Diceros bicornis minor: one gene and its partner. The protein of the gene in region 1 interacts with the protein of each later gene in a biochemical or structural test. Links are inferred from orthologs where the notes say so. Each region holds a gene or a part of one and is shown in the gene's direction. Other genes may lie near its edges.

What was found.
Region 2: the proteins of COL1A1 (region 1) and SPARC form a complex in vitro, tested with the Homo sapiens proteins (2 studies listed by BioGRID). The link is inferred for Diceros bicornis minor from reciprocal best matches to the Homo sapiens genes COL1A1 and SPARC.

The regions. Positions count from the first base shown.
Region 1 is NC_080757.1:36,083,103-36,093,971, forward strand, and holds the start of COL1A1 (collagen alpha-1(I) chain), read left to right. Parts: upstream 1-6,219; 5' UTR 6,220-6,327; coding exon 6,328-6,418; intron 6,419-7,921; coding exon 7,922-8,116; intron 8,117-8,210; coding exon 8,211-8,245; intron 8,246-8,343; coding exon 8,344-8,379; intron 8,380-8,467; coding exon 8,468-8,569; intron 8,570-9,361; coding exon 9,362-9,433; intron 9,434-9,675; coding exon 9,676-9,720; intron 9,721-9,882; coding exon 9,883-9,936; intron 9,937-10,114; coding exon 10,115-10,168; intron 10,169-10,707; coding exon 10,708-10,761; intron 10,762-10,869. UniProt on the Homo sapiens protein: Type I collagen is a member of group I collagen (fibrillar forming collagen).
Region 2 is NC_080740.1:68,552,239-68,563,752, reverse strand, and holds the start of SPARC (SPARC), read left to right. Parts: upstream 1-6,121; 5' UTR 6,122-6,180; intron 6,181-11,514.

The DNA.
Region 1 (10,869 bases):
CACAGGGCTGGCCCCAGGATGTCTGCAGAAACCATCCATGGAATAGAATTGACTAGAGTGTCTGCAACAGGCGCCGAACTCAGGATCTTCTTCCCCAGACAGGGTCCTCGCCCAGCCTCCATTCTTCCAGGGTACCACACCATCCAGTCTCTCAGGTCAGAAGACCAGGAGTCTTCCCTGCTCCTCGCCACCACACCCCCATGTCCAATCTGGCCCCAACACCTATAAATTCTGCCTCCCAAAGGGCTCTTGAATCCATCCTCTTCTTTGTGGCCATTCCCTTCAACCTGGTCCAGGCTCTCATCAGCTCTCACCTGGGCCCATGCAGCAACCACTGTCCGCCACAGCTCTCCTCCAGTACCTGTTCCACCAAGTGACCACGGTGTCTCTTACAAATCCAGACCTGATTGTGACCCTCCCTGCTTTAGACCCTCTACTGGGGCCCAAAGGTCTGAGGATAAGAACTAAAACCAGTGATGTGGCTTCTTTGGCTTGCCTGGCCTTAGCTCCCTGTGCTCTAGCACACTGGCATTCTCTGGATTCCTTGAGCATCTAGAACTTGCCATGCCTCCTCCTGCCCCAGGGCCTTTGCATATGCAGCACCATCACACCCACCTCAACTCCCCACCCTGCCACCTACCCCTTACCTAAGTTATCTCTACTTATCCATCAATCTATTCAGGGAAGCGTACTGGGCCCCTGGGTCTAGGGTGGGATCTCTGGGATGCCTGCCGCTCAGACTGTGTCCCTTTCCTTTGTAACGTTTACAGTTGCAATTACACGTTTATTTATGTGATTGCATTAATGTCTGTCTCTACCAGGTGTAAGCTCCATATGGACAGGCACTGAAGTCCCAGCGTCCAGCAAGGCCCCGCATATAAATGTTGTTGAATGAATAATTCTGGATCCTTTCTATGTCAAAGCCAGACTCTGTCCAAAAGGGAGTTCTATCCAGGGCTGGTGCAAATGAACAGACTGGGATCCCCCCATCTCACCCTCTGTTCAACTCCCCACCCCAGAAACTCCAGAATCCCAGGTTTGCCAAGAAGAACTGGTGGCTGATGCAGAAGTGGAAGACACCAGACATCTGTGGCCGAGGCTGACCTGTGGGGGATGGGGGTGGGGGTGAAGGAGGAGATCAGGGTCTGCACAGGTGCCTCTGCCTCACAGGGGCTGCCCCTCCCATTCTTTTTTTTTTTTTAATTCAAGCTTCAAAGGAACCTTTGCATCTATCTCCTAAGCCCTTCAACCAGACATCTGGTTGTGATGCAAGCCTGGCCCCCTCTGCCCCGCCTCTCTGAGGCTGCTGCAGCTCTCTCCTCCCAGAGCCCTGCACGCAGCATCAGGAGACCAGGAGACTGGATGGAGGCACCAGAGATACCGGAAGAGAATATGAGAGAAAAAGAGGGAGGGAGGAGTGTGTGGGTGGAGGGCTGGGACAATGGGCCAGAGGCAGAAGAGAGAAAGGAAAGGAAAGAAAAGAACTAAGACAAAGAAGAAAAATACATGAAGAGGAAAAAGGTTAAGGGTGGGGGGAGATAAAAGAGTAGAAAAAAAGAAAGAAGTGAGGAATGGGAATATGATAGCACAAGTAGAGAATTGAACCAAACCAGAAAGAGGTAAATGACAAATCAATTAGTTCACTCACCCAAACTTTGATAAACCTGCTCTGCCTCCAGACATACTGAGGGGCTAGAAACACCATGAGGAACCTGCCAGGTCCCTGCCTGGGAGCTCACGGCCAGCAGGAAAGATGGGCGCTGACTCTACACTTGTGACCAGCACAGAGCGGAAGTAAGGATAGGTCCCCAAGCCCAACAATGTCCCCATCCAGCACATTATTCTCAGTTGGGACCTGGCTGGGACCTGTGGGTTGGCTGGAGCGGGCCTGGGGAGCAGCGTTAAGTGGAACAGTCCTAGTGTCACCTGAGGACCCCGCCCAGCCCTTCTCCCAGCTCATCCCAGCTCCTCCCCTGGTTCCTCTGCCCCAAGTTCCCCTCTTGGACTGGGGGGCCCCAGAGAATGGGGCAGGGTCTGCCGGGACTAGAAATCAAGACTTCTCTTCAGGAGCCTGGACTGAGGGCTTGCTCTAGAAGAGAATGAAGTGGACATCTCGGCCTGGATGTGGACATCTGAGGGCAGAAAGAGCCAAAAAGGCAAATGAGACCCAGAAAGAGAGCTCCAGAGAGGGAAGGATGGAGAAAGAAGCAGCAGAGGGAGGCAGGGGACAGACAGGAGTGGGGGTGGGGGAAACGTAGAGAAAGAAGGAAAAAGAGAAGGAGGCAGGGAGGATGAGGTTCTACTCGCTCTCCTCTCCATCACACCCAACCCCTCCTCCGAGCTGTCTGCACTCTGACCCCGTTTCCTGGCCTTCCGCTCACTCCTCACCCACTCCAGACAGGCCTCCTCACCCTCACTCCACTGAAACAGCTCACACTTAGGGCTCCAATCACTGCCATGTCGCTGAATCCAGAGAACAGTTTACTCCTTATCACACTAATTCTCTTTGCAGCATATAACTCTCCCTCCTTCTAGAGCAATCTTCCCTCTGCATACATGACATCCACCATCCCTCTCCTCTTTACTCTCCTACTTCTCCCGCTCTTGTCCTTTCTCCTGCGCAGGCTCCTCCTCCCTTTCCCTACCCCTAAACCCTGAGGGTCCTCAAGGCTCAGTCCTAGCCCTTCATCTCTCCCTGCTCCGTACTTTCTCAGGATACAACTCCATGCACACCATCACCCTAGGGGTCCCATTTTTGTCTCTTCTCTAAACTCCAGACCCAGACACCTTAGAGTTTCCTCTACATTTGTCACTGGATGTCTCATGGGCACCTAACACTCAACATGGACAAACTGAATTCATCATCTCCCCTCTAAACCTGGAAAGGATGATGAGTTGGAGGGACATCTCAGAAGGCTAAAGAAGGATTGGGTTGAGGCTGAGGCATAGAAAGAGCAGAGCTCTGCCTGGAAACTAAGGAACTTAGCTAAGGACCAAAGGGCCCAGATGGTGCACTGCTGAAGAAAGGGAAGACGAGAGGACCCCACACACCTGGAGTCTGTCCCCGGACTCTGCCCTCAGAATTCCTCAATAGGACCTGTGCAGGGCTCCATGATGGGGACATGTGGAGACCAAGGTCTTCACTGCAGCCTCATTCTTCCACTCCCTCCCCTTCTCTCTCCTCAACCCCTCTCTAGAGACCCTCTCTCCATCACCAGTCTGGGGCCAGGGTGAGGCAGAAGACCATTCTGGAAGGTCAGATCAGGGACGGAGGGCAACGGAACCTCAGCAGAGGACCAGAGCAGCTGGAAAGGGCTGACCCACCTGCCCACCAGGTGCACCAACACCAGGGCTGCCTCTTCTCCCTTGTCCCACATCACGGAGTCCAGACTGGGGGCGTGAGGGGCTCCAGAGGGAGAGGGGAGCTGGGGAGCACAGCCCGCCCCCTCCCTCGTGGAGGAAGGGCACTCTCGGAAATCTGGAGAGGGCGAGAACTTAGAGCTCAGCACTTTCCTCTTTCTGTTTTTCTTCTTGAGGAATTTTTTTCCCTAAGTGCTGATGACTTTACCATTTCTTGGGGGTGGGGGGAGGAGATTTTGGCTTTTGCTCCCCCCACTCCAAATGCCGGACGAAGTCTTGCATTCCACAAGAAGCCAGAGCTTCAGAGTTTCCTAAAGATGAGGTGGCGTCTCCTCCCCTCTCCAGCCCCAGCTCCCTCCCCCCAAGTCTCAAGCCCTCAGTCCTGGCCAAAGAGGCCCAGGCAGGCTGGGAGGAGACCCCAAGCACATTCTTCCTCTCACTGTCATGCTGCAGAAATTAAAGACACATCTTTGGGCTGGGCGCCCGCCAAGCGTTTCAAGTCAAAAAGTAGCAGAGGCGGCCCTGGGCCTCAGCTCTATGCCACGTGTAAAGGATGCTTGGAAACCCTCTGCTCGCAGCTCCGGGGATGGAGGTCCAAAACTGGACATAGGGGCAGTGGCTGTCACATGCCACACACACAAAGCCCACCCACCCCCATCCCAGGGGTCCCTGAACATCCTTCAGAAGCCCATGATGTAGCCGCTTCCAATCCGCACCTCTGAGGCTTAATCTCTTCTTGACGGTGAGAGTAGGACAGTCTGGACAGGGTGCATGTGGGGAGGGGGCTGCAGGGAGGAGTCCTTCTGGCTGTGCAAACTCAGCCAGAAGGGAGGTGGGCAGGTCACACCAACCTTTGCCCCAAGCCTGTGACACCCCACCCCAGACACCCACTCCACATGGTTGACTACTATGGGGGACAGGACCCTTTTCCTCTATTAGGGAGATGGTGCCCCTTGTCTCCCATCCACACTGGAGGGTGCAAGAACTGCCATCTCAGCATCTCAGCCTCCAGTCCTGCCCTGCAGTCGCTGGCACTAGGCGGGGGCAGATCCTGGGCCACAAGTTGCTGCCACATGGTGGGGATAATTGATGAAGGCCTGTCCCTCCATTGCTGTCTCCCGCTTGCCTCTCTGGAAACTCTATATTTTCCCTTTAATTATAGCCCCTGCAGTCTCCCTCCGCTGCCCCGCCCGCACGCTCATCCTGGCTGCCCACGGCCAACGTGGCTCCCTCCCCTTCTGTTCCCTTGGTCTTTTTTTTTCCTTTGCCTTCGTTGCACAAAACCAGCCGGGGGAGGGCGTGGAGAGGGGCGGGGGGAGGCAATGGAATCTTGGATGGTTTGGGGGAGGCGGGACTCCCCGCTTCCACGTTTGCAGCTCTGGAGTGATGGGGGTGGGGAAGCTGTGCGGGAGGGATTCGAGTTGACGGGGATTGCAAAGGGACCCCCATTGCCTTCTCTTGGGCCCACAGATTTTGACAGGACCAGGGGTCTGAGTGGATTGAGGTTGAGGTAGAGCACTGTTGGGAGATTGGGACACGAGGGAGGGAGGACACTGGCTTCTAGAGGCATCTCTCCCAAATACAGACTTCTTGGGGTGCCCACCCCCTTTCAGGGTACATATGATTCTCTCCTGGTTCCGGGGGCAGAGAGAAATGCCCTGGGTTTTCAGGAAAGAGGTGGGGCAGTGGGAAACATTCTCTAAAACAAGGTCACTCACCCTCCCATGCAAGTCCATCCCAAACCCCCAAAGGCAAATCTCCCCCAGACACCCAAATTCTCCCGTATACCCCCAACCCTGAGTCCAGGTACAACCAGAGAGGGGGCCTTATGCAGCACCCAGAGGGAGAACCCTCTCTCTGGTCAAGTGCCCTCCACCGGAGCTTGACTATTCTGGGTAGAAGAGTCTCTAAAAAGGCCCTGGCCACCAAGCACACCCTAACACGAGACCCCTTTCTAAGTCATCAGTGATCATAGCCCTCCGTGCAAAGTCACTTCCCCTGGGGTGGAAGAGTCCCAGCAATGCCCCACCAACACCAAAGCTTCCTTCTGGAGAGACCATGTAGCCAAATTCTCACCCGGTACTTCAGCCTCCCCATCTCGTCTCTCTCAGTCATACCTGAAGCTTGAGGGAGAGGACCTGAGTCCGTCTTGGAGCCTCAGGCATGGCAGAAGAATCGACATCCTCAAAATAAAACCCCTCTTGCCAGCACCCCCTCCACAAGTATCTGATTCTTAAGGTCTATAAAGGAATCTCTAACTTGGTCCCCAAATATTCCTAAGCTCCATAACCCAGCCACGCCAGAAGACACCCCAACAGGTACATCTTTTTAATTCCCTGGTCTCCTGTTTTGGAGGGGTTCTCGGCCGGCCTCTTCATATCCATCCCTTAGCTCTTGCCAAGGATGTCAGGAGCGTGCATGAGGCATGGCCAGGAGGACCCTCTCCCAATCACCCCAATCCTTCCACCTTTGGAAGGCTCCCACCCACTCCCCAATTCCAGTTTCTCCAGATTGGGGGTCCCAGGAAGAAAGCTGAAGAGGCGCCCCTACCCACTCTTTAGGCCACACTATGTTGAGGACCTAGATGCACCCCAGCGGCAGCATCTCTGGCCCAGGCTGGACTGGGGGGCTGGGGAGGCAGAGCTGCGAAGGGGGGAGATGTGTGGTGGACTCCCTTCCCTTCCCTTCCCTCCTCCTCCCCTTCTCGGTTCCAACTCCCAAATTGGGGGCCGGGCCAGGCAGCTCTGATTGGCTGGGGGACGGGCAGCCGGCTCCCCCTCTCCCAGGGGCAGGGTTCCTCCCCGCTCTCCATCAAGATGGTATAAAAGGGGCCCGGGCCGGTCATCGGAGCAGACGGGAGTTTCTCCTCGGGGTCGGAGCAGGAGGCACGCGGAGTGTGAGGCCACGCATGAGCGGACGCTAACCCCCACCCCAGCCGCAAAGAGTCTACATGTCTAGGGTCTAGACATGTTCAGCTTTGTGGACCTCCGGCTCCTGCTCCTCTTAGCGGCCACCGCCCTCCTGACGCACGGCCAAGAGGAGGGCCAAGAAGAAGACAGTAAGTCCCAAACTTTTGAGAGTCCAGGGCTACTTGGTGTCTTGCCCTGCGTTCGGTCCCGGGGGTCTGCGACCTAAACTGAGACTGGGGATGCTCCGGAGATTCAGGGATGGAAGGGAGATGGTTAGGGCTCTTCCTCGCGCCCTGGGAGAGAAGGGCGAGCACCCTGGGTGGGGAGTGTAGAGGAACGTCCCCCAGAAGTGGGAGAGGAGGATGGAGCTCGGCCTGAGTTGGCACAGGAGGGAGTCTCGAGCGCGCACTGCGGCGTACAACAGGGAAAATGGGGATCTGGGCGCGGGTGGGGGGCAAGTACGTCGAAGATGGGATGGGGTCGCCGAGCTGGGAATTTGGAGCCCAAGATGTAAAAGCGGTCGGGAAGGCTGTGGGATGATTCACAGGGAAAGATTGTTTGCCCTCTCTGCGGGCTAGACAGTGTTCCTGGGGCCGCGGGGGTGCTAGGCTGAGGGGGGAGGGGGCGCGGAGTGTGGGCGGGTTGGAGGTTGAGAAACTTTGGCGCGACTTGGCAGGGCGGGTCCTTGCGCCCCCTGCTGATCAACACTGAGCACCGTGCCTCCCTGTCCAGGGCTTCCCGCCGTAGGAGCTGGAGAGAGAAAACGGAGGTTATTGCCGGGTGTGGACCCCACCTCTAGACCTAGAAAATAAAGCTGGAGACCGGGTAGCCCCTGTCTCTAACGGAAGCGGCCAGGCCCGGGAAATTGCTTAGTGTTGCCCGCCACCTAGTGGCCATCTGGAGAGAGGCTCGCGCGGTGGGCGTGGTTAACTAACTTCATTGCTATTTGCGGACTTTTGGTTCTTTGGCTAAAGAGGGACCCAGAGGCACTGGTTGGCTTTGGAAAACGGGGGTCGTTCCTGAGAGAGGACTTTTGAGATGTCTGGGAGCTGGAGATTAGGGCGTATCCTACTTTTGGGGTACATTTCAAGTCTCTGGGCGGGACGCCACGCCAATCAGCCCCTCCCCATCCTCCTAGCTCCGCCCACGCCATCCCACCTGCTCAGGGAATGGGGCCGAATGGGGGCTGGACCTGCCATCTCTCCTCCCACCCTCTCCTCCTGTCTCCACCCAAACCACGCCCCACAGTCCTGCCCTCTTGAAAGGGCCCCCCCTTCTCCTCCCCACTCCGCCACCCCCCACTCCCCCACCCAGTGGCTTTTTATTTCACTTGGCTTCAGCGCCAATGGGCTGAGGTTGGAGTTGGAAGCAACCCCGGCCTAAAGCTTTGTTTAAATTCCTGAGAACTGGAAAGAGTTATAGCCGCGCTGGCCAGGGGCCTCGACACTGTCACGGGCCCTGATGAGGAGCAGACGAACTTTTAAGGATTTAGGGAAAAAGAAAAAAAAAAAAAAAAGGAGGAGGCGAGAAATGGAAAATCTAAATGTGTCTCTAAGACAGAGAGGAAGGGCAGATAGGGTTGGGGTCCCTGGAGCCCCAAGGTGGGAGGCTCGGGCGTCGCTGACAGCCCCGCTCTTCCCCTCTTGCCCCAGTCCCAGCAGTCACCTGCATACAGAACGGCCTCAGGTACCACGACGGAGCCGTATGGAAACCCGAGCCCTGCCGGGTCTGTGTCTGCGACAATGGCAACGTATTGTGCGATGAGGTGATCTGCGAAGACACCAAGAACTGTCCCGGAGCCTCTGTCCCCCCGGACGAGTGCTGCCCCGTCTGCCCTGAAGGCCAGGGTACGCTCGCTAGGGGCCTGGGGCGGGCGGAGGGCGGGGCCGTCGGGGCACCGGAGCCCACCCTGCCTCTAACCCGCGTCTCTTCTCCCCCCAGTGTCACCTACGGACGAACAAACCACAGGAGTAGAGGTAATCCTCTACCCTCGACTTTTGCCACCCTGCCCGTGACTCCTCACGGTCCTCCCTTCTCTAACCCAGCTTCTGTTTCTTTTCCCCCAACCCCATAGGGACCCAAAGGAGACACTGGCCCCCGAGGCCCAAGGGTAAGCTTCGCCCTCTCTGGGCTGTTGGGGGCTGGAGGTTGGTGTGGCTCCTGACCTGAGCTCACCCAGGCGCCCTCTCCCCCTTCAGGGACCCGCAGGCCCCCCTGGCCGAGATGGCATCCCCGGACAGCCTGGACTTCCCGGACCCCCCGGGCCTCCCGGACCTCCCGGACCCCCTGGCCTCGGAGGAGTAAGTGCAGAGCGAGATGCTTGTGGAAAGCCTGGTGTGCTCCCCTCCCCTCTCTGTGTTGTTGTTGTTGTTGTTGTTGTTTTTGGCGGCTGGCATTCTTTATATTTTGAAATAATTTCAAACTTACAGAAAAGTTGCAAGAGCAATGCAAAGAACTCTCATATACCCTTCACAGTTTGTCACATTTGCTTTATCAGTCTCTGTCTATGCATACATATAATTATCATAATTTTTTTTCTGAACCGTTTGAGAGTAAGTTGTTGCTATTATGTCCCTTTGCTCCTAAAAACTTCAGTATTTCCTGAGAACAAGAACATTCTCTTACATGATCATAGCACACGATTACATTTAGGAAATTTAACATTGGAACAATACTATTGTCTAATATACAATCCATATTCAAATTTTACCAATGTCCCAAAGATGTCCTCTATAGCATTTTTTTTCCTGATCCAGGATCCAATCTGGGGTCATGAATTGCATTTAATTGTCATGTCTCTTTAGTCTCCTTTAATCTGGAACATTCCTCAGACTTTCTTTGTCTGTCACAACCCTGAGATTTTTTGAAGAGGCCAGTTGTTTTGTAGACTGTCACTCAGTTTGGGTTTGTCAGATGTGTCATAATTAGATTTGGGCGGTGCGTCTTTGGCAGGAATATTTCCCAAGTGATGTTGTTGTTCTTCTCAGTGCATCACATGATGAGGCATACAATGCCAGTGGGGCCTGTTATCCGTGATGTCTTCTGCCTTTCAACTCGCTGCTGTCTCATGCACTCTCTCTTGTTTTTTCTAGAACTTTGCTCCCCAATTGTCTTATGGCTATGATGAGAAATCAACTGGAGGAATTTCCGTGCCTGGCCCCATGGTGAGCCACCAGGGGGTGTAGAGAGACAGAAGAGGAGCAGTTGGGAATCCAGACAAGATGGGCCAGTAATGGCTTAAGATAACTTGGGAGATCAAGACAACTTTTGGGACCTCAGAGTCCAGAGAGGATGCAAAACAACTGGGTGGTCCCAACAGGAACCAATGGGAGATAGCCTGACTTCACCCACCTTGCACTTGCCTACAGAGGTATCACTACAGCTTCCCCTTCTTTTCCTTCTGTAGGGTCCTTCTGGTCCTCGTGGTCTCCCTGGTCCCCCTGGCGCCCCTGTGAGTATCCAGGATGTCTTCACACACCACCCTGGGCTTTGGTCTTTTGAGGGGAGGATTGGGATGAGGGCAGGGAAGGTGCTCAGAGATCTCTTGGTGAGATGGGGAAAGGTTGGCAGGGACATGCCCTTATAACCCCACACCTCTCTCCTTGTCCTCCAGGGTCCCCAAGGTTTCCAAGGCCCCCCTGGTGAGCCTGGAGAGCCCGGAGCCTCAGTAAGTGCCCGTCAACGTGTACTCTATACAAATACACACTCCCTCTACAAATACATGGATTCTCCTATTGAGCAACACCCCCATCTGGAGTCTTCCCTACCTCCTCCTTCCACTCCCAGCCCTCTCCTTCTTTTTTCCTTATCCTGGTGATTCTAACCTCTCCTCTTATCTCCTCTAGGGTCCTATGGGTCCCCGCGGTCCCCCTGGCCCCCCTGGCAAGAACGGAGATGATGTAAGTAGCCCCCACAAGAAGATGCCATCTGACCCCACTGCCTCCATGGGCTAGGTCTCAGTCATCTCCACCCCAGTGCCCCTACCACCCTTGGGGGTGACACACAGAGAAAGGAGGGCAAGTTCTCCCTGACCCATGGGACTGCCCTTGAGCAACGATCTTCACCCTGCGTGGGATGTTTCTCCATCTCCCCAACAGGGGTGACTGTTCCTCCCCTGGTCCCAGCCACCTTAAAGTAGTCCCCAGTCCCACCCCTTGGGGTGAGTGACTTCCTTAGGCTTAACCACTCTGGGCACCCCAGATTTGCCCTCATATGGTGAGATTAAAATGCTGGTGGCAGAAATAAACAGATATTCCTTTGGAGGGACTCAAACTTCACCAAACAAGGGTTTCACGGTAGATTTAAACGGAGCTCTAAATTCAGAGATAAGATTCTGGGTCCCTAAGCCTGACCTTCAACAGTCCCAAGAAGACTCAGACCTCATACAGTTTTCCGGCCCAGGGCGCACATGCATGAAGGCCTTTTCTCTCCCTCTCAGGGTGAAGCTGGAAAACCTGGTCGTCCTGGTGAGCGTGGGCCTCCTGGACCTCAGGTGAGCAGGACAGTGTGGCTGGCCCCGGCTTCGCTCTGTTCGGGCATCATTTGGGAGCTGTGTCCTCAGTAGCGTCTTCTAACGGCCCTGCCTCTGTCCTCCTTTTCT
Region 2 (11,514 bases), on another chromosome or scaffold:
AGGATAGGGCACAGGTCCCACTAAGGACGGAACCCACCTCAGAACTCAAATTAACGCTTCTTCTTGGGGGGTTTGTGTCAACATGAGAGAATGCAGCAACACATTGTTGGCCATTCATCACCTCAGTGAAGAGGGGGCCGTGTGAGGAGATGCCTCTGCAAACTCTCCCTGGAACCCCGGGCGCAGGCAGCTGGTGTACTGGAAAGAGTCTTGGACTGAGTTTTAGGAGTCTGGCGTTTTTGTTTCAGCTCCATCGTGGGCCAGCTGGGTGACCTTGGGCAAGTCCCCGAGGGACACTGCTCAAGCCCGAAATGTGCTTAGCAAATCCTGACTTTTCTACCTAATAGACTAAATATGCTACTCACTAAGATTATGGGTATAAAAGTCCTTTGTGAGCTGGAAAAGAGCTGAGGGGGAAACCTGAAGCTGCTGAGTGGGAGTGTTGTGCGTGGGGAGGTGCCGAAGTGAAATCTCATCCTCTTCTCTGTTTGGCCTTGCCCTCTCAGCAGCCACTCAGCCCAGGGGACCAGGGGCCAGAGGACAACGAGGTCTTTGTGCCCTTCAGCCAATGGGAGGGCCTGCCTGGGGAAAGAAACAGTAACAAGGCAGACAGCCTGAGTCAGTCTCCAGTGTGCCAGGGCCTTTTTAGCTTGGCAGCCTTGACTTTGAGCCAGACACACAAAGGGTGCATTTCAGAGTTTTGATACATAATCTTCAGCCCAAAGGGGTCAGCTGGTCTGGTTCCTGCCTCTAGAGACTTGGGGCAGCTAAAGCTGGCTTCAGCCTGGGCCTGGAGTTAGGAGACCAGGGCTCTAGGCTTAGCTGTCTACACTGTGACCTTGGGCTCTGAGATCCTCAGTTTCCTCAGCCATACAAGGAAGATGTAGGATTGGATAGGGCCTAAGGACCCTAACAGTTCTAAGCTTTGAAAGAATAGGACAGATTCAGCCTGTTGAAAGACGCATGGCTTTGGGGAAGATGGGGAGGAGAGGCAGCCTCACTAAGAGCATGGTACATGCAGAGGTATGTACAGGGAAGCGATGGACAGTGTGGGGTCTGGAGTTGAGCTGCTTGTGTGGATTCCTGGCTTCACCTCTGTGGGACACTGAGCAAGTCATTCAGCTCTCTGAACCTTTGTTTCCTCATCTTTAAGATGGGATTGGTAATTGTACCTACCTACGGTAGACAAAATAATGGCCACCAAAGATGTCCAGGTCCTAATCTCCAACTGTAAATATCCTACCTTGCATGGCAAAGGGGACTTTGCAGATTAAGTTAAGGATTTTGAGATGGGAAGATTATCCTAGATTATCTGGGTGGGCCCAATGTAATCACAAGAATCTTTGGAAGAGGAAAGCAAGAGGGTCAAAGTCAGAAAAAGGAGATGTGGGGGGCCGGCCCCGTGGCATAGCGGTTTAGTGCGCGCACTCTGCTGCTGGCAGTCCGGGTTTAGATCCTGGACATGCACCAATGCATTGCTTGTCAGGCCATGCTGTGGCAGCGTCCCATATAAAGAAGATTGGCACTGATGTTAGCCCAGGGCCAGTCTTCCTCAGCAAAAAGAAGAAGATTGGCATGGATGTTAGCTCAGGGCTGATTTTCCTCACAAAAAAATATAGAAAAGAAAACAAAAAAAGAAAAAGGAGATGCAATATCAGAAGCAGAGGTTGGAATGATGTGCTTAGAAGATGGAGGATGGGCCATAAGCCAAGGAATGCAGGCAGCCTCTAGAAACTGAAAAAGGCAAGGAAACAGATTCTTCCCTCAAGCCTCAGAAGGAATGCGGCCCTGCCAACACCTTGATTTTAGGACTTCTGATCTCTGGAACTGTAAAGTAATAAATGTGTGTTTTAAGTCACCACGTTTGTGGTAATTTATTACAGCAATAACGGGAAACTAACATACTACCCAAGAGTGTACATTAAGTGAAGATAACTGAGATAGTGAGCATAAAGTGTTTTGCCCAGTGTCTGCTCAGCAATATTGGATATTATTATCTCTCTTCCCAGTTTAGTCATAATTGTTCCAACCAGACCTGGTGCCTCAAGTACCCATGTGCAAAATTCATCAGGTTTTTTACCTGCGAGGCCCACTCAGGATTTATGGCCTGGAGAGCTGAACATGGAGATCCTGACACTGTTTCCGATGTAAGCTTTAGGGGATGTTTCTTGGCACTGCTCTTATTTATTTAACTTCCTGCTTGGTTGCGTTCCTCCTTGCCTGAAGCCAAATCAACAGAGCCTCCCTGATCTGTTTCCAGAGTTCAGACCTCTCACTCCCTGCCCAGGTGTTCCTGCCTGTACATGGGTTGCCACCTGGCCCCAGTCCAGCTTCCAGAGATGGTCCACCAGGTGGTTCAGGTGACAGAGACTCTGGAGTTACTGAGCAGAAGGACAAGCAGGTTCTCGATGGGGTTGAGAATCTGCCTCTGATCCAGGGGTCAGGAGACCTGGTTTTGAGTCCCAGGTCCACTGGGTGATTGGGGCTTCAGTTTCCCCATATCTACAGTATAGGTTTTAAGCCCTGCCCTGACTTTCTCACAGGACTGCTCTGTGGTTCACTGAGATGGTAGATGAGAAAGTACTGTGGAAAGTACTTTGGAAGAAGAGGAGGAAGAAGGAGAAAAGGAGGAGGAGGAAGAGGCAGAGAAGGGAGCTTTCCTCTAACTGACAATTCTAGCCCCACCTCCAGTTACTTGTAGAAGCCAAGCTCTCCCATCCTAGGGTCTTGGCACTTATTCTCCCCTTTGCCTGGAATACTCCTCCCCCAGCCCTTCTCACTGACTCATCATTCAACTTTTTTTCTCAAAATTTTCCTCCTCTAAGAAGCCTACCCTGACTATCCTATCTAAATTGCCCCCCCCATTACCTACTCATTTCATCCTGTTTATTTCATTCGTAGAATTGATCACAACCTGAAACTAATTTATCACCTGCCTCCAGCTATTAGAACGTAGAATGCATGAAGACAGTCTTTGTCCTACTTATTGGTAAATCCCCAGTGTGATGGAGTCAATGAATGAGCAAAGGAGGTAGCTGATGTTCTGGGAGGCGTGGGGAGCCTGGATGCTGTGCACCTGTGGGCATTCTCCAGGCAGTGGGCAGTAGAGCACCCCTGAGTTCTCAGGCTCTGGCTGGGTGGTGGGTCAGGAAGGGCAGGATCAAGGTTGAGGTGGTGGTGCCTCGAGGTGCACAGCTGAAGAGTGGCTGGACAGGGTGGTGGGCAGGTGGCAGGGACTCCAAGGTACTGACTTCTCATTTTGTAAGCTGAAAAGCTGATCCAATCTGATGTTGAGTCAGCAACACACTCAACTAAAGAGCTGAGGACCAAATGGCTGTGGAGTCTAGAGTCCACAGATGTCAGAGCTGGAGGGGAATTCAGGAGGGGGTGGTATGTACCCCCTCCTGAATTATGATCAAGAACTGGGCTCTGGTGTCTGTTACACCTGGATTTCAATCTCTGATTTGCCGTGTACTTGATGCACGAACTTGGGCAAATTATTGATCTGAACTTCATTTTGCACATCTGTAAAATGGGGATAATAATAGTCCCTATTTCATAAAGGTTAGATCAGAGAATATATGCAAAGGACTTAGCTCAGTGCTTCGCACATAGTAGGTGTTTAATAAATGCTGGCACTCATTACTACTATTATGCTGTCTAATCTATCTACAAATGGAAAAGGTGTAGCTCAGATGGGGACAGGGATGAGCCCAAAGTCACTCACTGACTCAGTGGCAGAGTGGGGATTGGCCCCCAGGTCTACTACACCTGGCCCGGTTGTGCTTCTCTCCCTTCCTGTAAAGCCCTTGGTGGTCGCAGGAGAATCAACCTTAGTCCTAGTGGTCTCCCTTCCTAAGTCACAGTCATCCTTGCTTCAGAGGCTGCTGTTCCCCCAGTGTGTTCTTACCCCTAGACACAAAACCTACCAAGTTTTCCTGTGAGGGATCCTGACTCAGAGTCTCCCCACAGGGGCCTGGGAGTGGCCTCCAGATGGGATCTCTGTCCCAAAGCTTTAGCCTAGCCCCAATCTGCTTTCTAATTCCTGAACCAAAGGCCGCATGGGAACTCCAGCCAAACACTGGGAATGGCTCCATTGGCTCATTCTCATCAGAATTGTTATCTTAGTTTATGAAGAAAAACACAAAGTTTAAATTAATTTTAGTCTTCACGATGCCTGGGAGCTATAGCAACCAATCCTATAAAAAATATATATATCTCTAGATGGCAAAACAGATATATGAGGAGTCTGCCAGCACCCTGTGTTGCACAGCCAAAGCAGAGCATCAGCTCTTGGCTTTGGGACCAGGGAGAGGCCTTGGGGATCATCTGGAGCAGAGCTCCTTTCCTGGGTTCCTGACTAGCCCTTTCGAGAACCTGAAGGAAGCCATGAACCGTCTCTGCAGAAAAATGCACACAGGTCCAAACTTTTAGCTTTAATTTTTGTAGGTTTGAGGATCTCTTGAAGACCAGTGTTCAGCACTATTCCAGGCCGGAACCCTATTAAAAGACAACTCCTTCCTTGATTGAGAGCCAACTTTGTGTTGGCCACTGTTCTAGACACTTGGAACACTGCTGTGAGCAAGACACATGAAGCCCCTGCTCCCATGAAGCTTCTGTCTAGTGAGGGAGACAAATAGTTTCTGACTGTGACAAGTGCCAGGACAGAAATAAAGAGAGAGCCAAGGAGACTGGTTTAAGTTGGGTGGTCAGAGGGTCTCTCATAGGAGATGACATTGTAACAGAGACCGGAAAGATGAGAAAACTCCAGTCACAGGAAAATGAGGTGGAAGAGTGTCCCTGGCCAAGGTAACACAAGTGCAAAGATCCTGGGTTGGGAGTAGCTTTGGGGTTGTTGAGGAACTGAAAGGAAGCTGGTGTGGCTGGAGTAGAGTGAGCCAGGAGGAGAGTGGCAGGAGGAGAGGATGGCAAGAGAGGCAGAGGCCACATCATGTGGAGGTTTATCAGAATATTTTCTGCCTTCTCCCTCTTCATGGTATTCAAACCCAATCCATGCTTCAAGAGCCACCTCTTCCAGGAAGCCTTCTCTGTTTGCTCCAACCCAGAGATCCTGCCACTCTGAAGCCCCGGGATAAACCTCAGAGTCTGTACCACTCATGTGAGTGCATGTATCCATAAGGCATGTCCTGTCAGCTTGTCCAAAGTTCCTTGAGGGCCAGATATTAATTCTTGTACCTCCCTTGCTAGGCATTTAATAAATATTCAACCAAGACCTACTGCACTGAGAAGTTCGTGTAGTGTAACTATGAACCAAGTTGACTATAGAATCAGCCTGCCTATACCACTTTTAGCCAGGTAATCCCAGGCAAGTGACTTAGCCTCTTGGAGACTCTGTTTCCTTCTTAGTAAAATGGGCATAATAACAATATCTAAGTCAAGGGCTTGCGGTGGAGATTAAGTCCTCAGTAAACCTTGGCTATGGTTACTTCTCTGATGATTATCAATATCATCAGTCTCCTTATCCGTTCTGTACTGATGACACGGATCCTCCTGCTAGAAAGCTAATCTCTCATTGTCTATTAGTGGTGCAATTAGAGTTAGAGTGCTTATTTTTAGACCATATCCCAAATCACCAATGATGATGCCACCAGTGGCAGCTTCTCTTGTCTGTACAGAGGTGAGTCCTGGCCTTGCCTTTGTCACAGTACAACCCCTTGAGTGGTTTTGCCCTTCTCAGCATTGCCTAATGTTGGGGAGGGCTCTTGTAAAGATCGCTGGTCATAAAGTCAAGACATTTGGGCCTGGCTCTGCCACTGGGGGCCCTTGGATAATCCCTTGCTCCCTCTAGGCCTCAGTTCCCCTCTACACAAGAAGGACGTTCCTTGTTCTAGGTGATTCCTGCGCGCCTGTCCAGCCCTGGCACTCTGTGAGTGCCCCAGAACCCACGAGACAGGCAGGGTTGAGAGTCTGCTCAGGACAGCCCACAGCAAGGAGATGAAGAAAGAAATGGAAGACACACACAGCTTTGGCTGCGGGGAGAAGGAGGAGGTGGGAGGAAGGAGGAGACAGAGGAGGAGGAGGGAGCGCGGGGTGGAGGGGGAGGCAGACCCAGCCCAGAGCTCTGAGTGGTTTCCTGTTGCCTGGCTCTAAACCCTTCCACATTCCTGCAGACCTTCAGACAGCCCAGAGCGCACTCCGCCGGCTGCCTGCTTGCCAGAGGTAAGCACAACCCCGGCCCTGCCTTCCCCTTCCCTGGTCGCATCAAGCCCTATCCCCTAGGTCACTCCTCTGGTTTGTGTACACGGGAGGGGAAGCTGTACCGGGATCAGGGATGGGGGTGTGCATGTTCTTCGGGCTCCATCCCCACTCCCGTTAAAGGCAGGAGCCGTGGACTCACTGCCTGTTGCTTTTCAGGTGGAATCACAGTATAACTTGGTCTCCCTTTTAGGTTTGCAGAAAATAATATCACTATGTCTTTGAGGGAGAATTTTCTGTCTCTCTGTCTCTCTCCGTGTCTGTTTCTCTGGTTTCTGAGGCTGCCTGCCTGTCCTCTTTGCTCCCTTTGCAAATGTGGCAGCTTCTTCCTTTCCTGGGAATCTGATCCTGTCACAGCTGCAACAGGGACCAGCTGGCAGCCAGAGTTTGCCCTGCTCTCCATTCCAAGAGAAGAAACTTCCTAGACTTGGTTCTTGGTCAGGGGCTCTGTTTTCCAAGAGAGACTTTGCAGGAATGATAAATTGATCTCTGGAAGACAAAGGGGGAGGCTTCATCCCTAATCACCACCTCCAGGAAGGCTCTTTTTTCCCTCCAATTCTCCCCCATCCACCATGCCCCTACACACACACACACACACACACACACACACACACACACACACAGACTCTGGTGCCACTGGCCTGAAATAGCACCATCAGATAGTCAGTCTTGGGTTAGGCATTGTTTCCATCTTGGGCTCCCTGGGGTGTAAACACAGGAACTCACCAGCAGTAGCCCCTAGTGTGTCTAGATCTGAAGACCCCAGGCATCTGGTATCATCCAACCAAAGTACTGGGCCCTAGGGAGGTCGGGTGTGGTGGGGGATGAGCTGAGAAGGGGAAGGGGGAAGGCAAGACAGAGGGTTCCAGGGCAACCTTCTCACATCTCCTTGTTTTGAGAAGATCCAACCCTACAAAGAACCGGTGTGTAGCCTTTTGGGGCATTAGGTCTTCTTCAGATAAACTCCTTCCTGTCTTTACCCTTGTTGGCTCCATTGGTTGGTTGATGAGTGGACTTCCTGAGTTCTGAAGGACACCAAGGGAAAAGGGGGCACTGGGATGAGGCATGTCCTCTAGGAAGCCCAGTCTGCCCAAAATGGAAAAGAGGGGCACACATTTTCCTCCAGAAAGGACAGCATTCTATGCAGAAAACATAGAGAAAATATTTTCACCAGCAATTCTCTAGGGTTACATTTCTATATACCCAAGTGCTGATGGTAGAGCGAGAAGCAAATCTGCAGTAGGGTGGCAGACTTAAGGTATGCTTAGGTAAGTGTCTCCTCTGGACTTAGTTTCCCTGCCTATAAAGTGAGAGGGTTGGACTTGATGGTCTTCAAGGTGCCTGATGTCCTCTGAAACTTTCAAAGGAAAGTCTCTTAAACCAGAATCCACCGACTGGCCTTTGAATGGGCTTCAAGGCATCTGCAAGCCCCTTAAAATTGTATGTACAGTAGTGCGTGCGTGTGTGTGTGTGTGTGTGTGTGTGTGTGTGTGTGTGTGTGTGAGTGAGAGAGAGAGGGAGAAAATACAAGAGGGTGTTCACAGCCTTCTGTCTTAAGATATTCTCAAATGGATGCATGACCTCCAAAATAGCCAGAAAGCATAGTGAGAGATGGAGTGGGTGGGACTGGAGGCAAACATATATTTGCAGGAGGATGAAAAAGTTTGAAATGGGAGTGGTTGGGGAAAGAGCGAGTTAACTCCCAGCCATCAGCTGCCACATCGACAGAGCCTGGAGCAGGGGGAGGAAGGGAGGGGTGGAAGGGGGGTGCCTGGAGAAGGAATCAACTTTTGAAACTTTCTCCAAGTCCCACCCACAGAAAGCCTCTTCTTTGCCATGACTCACTCTAGGAGGAATGCGAGTTGCCATGGCAACCTTTTTTTCAGGGTCTCTGCCTGCTGACTGGGAGGGGACACTGGGAACACTCAGAACTTCAGGCTCAGTCTGACTATCCCCCACTCCACTCCGTCCCCAAATACCAGGAGAGCAAACTCTAGGCCCTGCCCTTCTGACCTCCCAGGATCCCAGGGCAGCAGTGGGGCTTTGATAAGCTTCATACTTCGTGGACAGGGTGTTTGAAGACCTGAGTTTTAGTTCCACCTCTGCCCCAAAAGTGCCATTGACTTTGAACAAATTGCTTCTCCTATCTGAGTCCCAGTGTCTTCCTTCGTTAAAGAGCAATAACAGCAGCCACCTCAAAGGGATATTGTGTGGACAAAATGGGATAATGTACAGGGGAACACTTGGTAAACTGAGGCCCACGCACCTAATGTGATGTGTTTTCAGAATTGATAGATTTATGGCATCCAAAGAGTTGGTGAGATCATTCCCAGCTTTTTTCTCTGGCAAATCCATCATCTTGGGGTTTGCATATAACTTCCCTTTCCTAAAAGTGCTGATAGGCATATCTAAAAAAACTAAATATCATCTAGATTCAGTTAATTTGGGGACGTCCTTGAGTATTTCCCAAGAGTATTGTACCCTCCAGTGCGGAAAGAGCATTGGCCAAGGCACGAGCAGAGGTGGGTCCTAACTCACAGTAAGTGACATTGGGAAAGACCCTTCCCTCCTCTGGGCCTCAGTTTCCCGATCTGTTAAATGAGGAATCTAAGCTAGATGGTCTCCAGGTGCCCTTCCAGCTCTGAAGTCCGCGAACCTAAATCCAGATGCTGCTTTCATTAAAAGCAATCTCTGGCTGACATTTTTAACACCCCGGTCCCTCTAGTTGAAAAAGAAACAAGAGAGGAGGGGCTAGGGGGTTCTTGGGTTGCATAACACTCCTGCTAAAATCTTTATCCATCTGTAGAGGCTTGTCAACTAATCACGTGACTGGGGTTTGCTAGTCACAAGAGCAGATTTCCTTGCTGAAAATAAGCTATAAATAGGAAAGGATGGCGGAGGAAAGGAAACAGCTGAGGATGTCAGGTAAACAGGAGAATATTTGGTTTTTGAGGTGATTAGATAGGTAGCTAAGTGTGCAGAAGATAAACAGGGACAGACACAAACCCATGAGGAGGCAGGGTAAAAACATGTCACCAACAGGCACTCACTGGCACAGTTAAAAATAATTGCCTCAATACCTGAGCAGACACAGAAGGTCATGCGCTCGCTCACTTCTCCCTGGGCAATACCTTGACTCGCAGGCAAGTTCCAGGTCTACATCTTGATGCAAACGCAAACTCTGATCCTTACTTGTACAGGCCGAAACAGACAGATGCCGAGTCAGGTAGACACACACAGACACAGCTTCACTCAGAAGTCCTTAAGGTAACTTACACAGACATACTGTCAGGTGTGCAAACCCAACTGCCATTTGTAGCCACACATAGATGTGCACAGCCAGGCATAACTACCGGTCATGACAGACCAACACGTTACATACACACAGCACCAGGCCACCTGTTATATTTTACAGATAGAGAAATTGAGACTCAGGAAGAGAGAATAACTTACTCAAGGTCACATAGCAAACTGATGTCTGAGCCAAACTTCCAGATGTTCACCTTGCTTTTTCTTGTTTGTTTGTTTCATCTGATCAGTTTGGTATCACGCCTACACACCTTCCTCTATAGGCAACAAGCCCTGTGGATAATAAGTGATGAGCAGTGCTTTCTCTGTCCCCTTGGCTGGCCTGCTATGGCCTATCCCAGCCCACATGGCTTTGTCATTAAGGCAGCACGACGAGGCTAATAGGAAGTCTGCTCCTTTGCTTCCTGCTGGCTCCCTCCCTCACCTCCTTTAGAGGAGGGAAAGGATGGCTGGAGCTTCATTAATCCTGGGGATTAATGAAGTTACCTTTTCTCTAGAGCACAGAGCCTGGATCCTAACCACAACCCTAACTCGGGAACAGCTGGGCTGAGCAGGGCCAGGGCCGGCAAGCAGTGACTTGCCAGAATTATTTAGAAAAATAGCCTCCTCCTCATCCAAGAGGAGATGTCTTAGACAGGAAGTTAACTCTGCCTTCATTTGTCCAGCCATAGAGCTTGATGTCTGTAGGGAACACATGGATGGAGACACCATGTCTCTCCAGAGCTGGGTTCTTTCAGACACTTGGGATTAACCTATCTGATCTGGGGATCCTTCTGGGTCGTCTTGTGTTAGTCATGGTATTAGGATTCCAGACTGATCAGATGAAAAAGGAAACAGAACAAAACCAGCTAAACATCTGAAAGTTTAGCTCAGGCACCAGCTTGGATGACTTCGAGTAAGTTATTTTCCCATTTTGATCCCCAATTACTCTATCTCTAAAATCAGAAGCATGACAAAGAGGTTTCACATGGCTTGACATCTTACTAACTTAGCTTAGACAATACAACTTACCAACGTATTGGTAGCGGCTGCCAGAAGAACTGTGTTCAGGATTCAGATGTCACTCCGGACTTTAGGGGAAAAGGCCATATGTTTGATTAGCAATGTCTGCCACATGCAAAGGAGAGGCAGGTGAAGGCATACATGCCACGTATTTGCTATCTTCGGGATGTGACCGCCTGGACACTTTGATGTTCTTTCTCATCCCTTTCATTTGTGGTCACCCTGATGCAGCAGTGGCCCCTAGAGGGAGCTAAGGAGGAGACCCAGTGGCTCCACCCCGGGGCCTCTCCTAACCATGGTGAAACGTGGCATCTTAGTGGAATCTCAGTCAGGCTGATTCTAGTCTCAAACTCCAGGGCTACTTCTGAGTTGCCCCAGAACCTCTTCAATCCCAGGCTTGAGCACCCATAACACCCTAAAATCTTCCCTTAGCTTCTTCCTTTCTGGCGAGAAATATTAGAAGCAGAAGCAGAGAGTCAAGGGTGAAGTTTGGGAGAGGTGATCCTCTGAAAGGCTTCGGCTGAGTTACTCAGATCCTCAGGGCTGAAAGGGACCTTAGGGACCACCTTGTTCAAGGATTTTCAACTGTGTTCGTAGGGGAACCCAGAGATGCTCCAAGGCATCTCAGGGGGTGTCCGAGTGAGCAGGACTTTCAGCCCCCATCTCAACTCCATTTTCACCTGCTTTTGTTTTTTAATTTCAAGCCGCTTTATTGAATAGGTAATAACGCATTCACATGTTTCAACAAATGCAAGAGGCCTTTAGCTGTTTCAAATATTGGACTTCTGCAGAAGGCTTCGTTGAAAGAAAGGGATCCCTGGCTTACATAACTTTGAATACTACTGATCTAAAACAACCTCCTCATTGTGCTGACAGGCAGGGGTAGGTGAGGTCCAGGGAGCAGAGGAGCCTTCCCCCAGTTTGCATCGTGAGCTGGAAGTCAAGTTGCTGAGACTCCATCCCAGGACTCCTGACTTCCACATCACG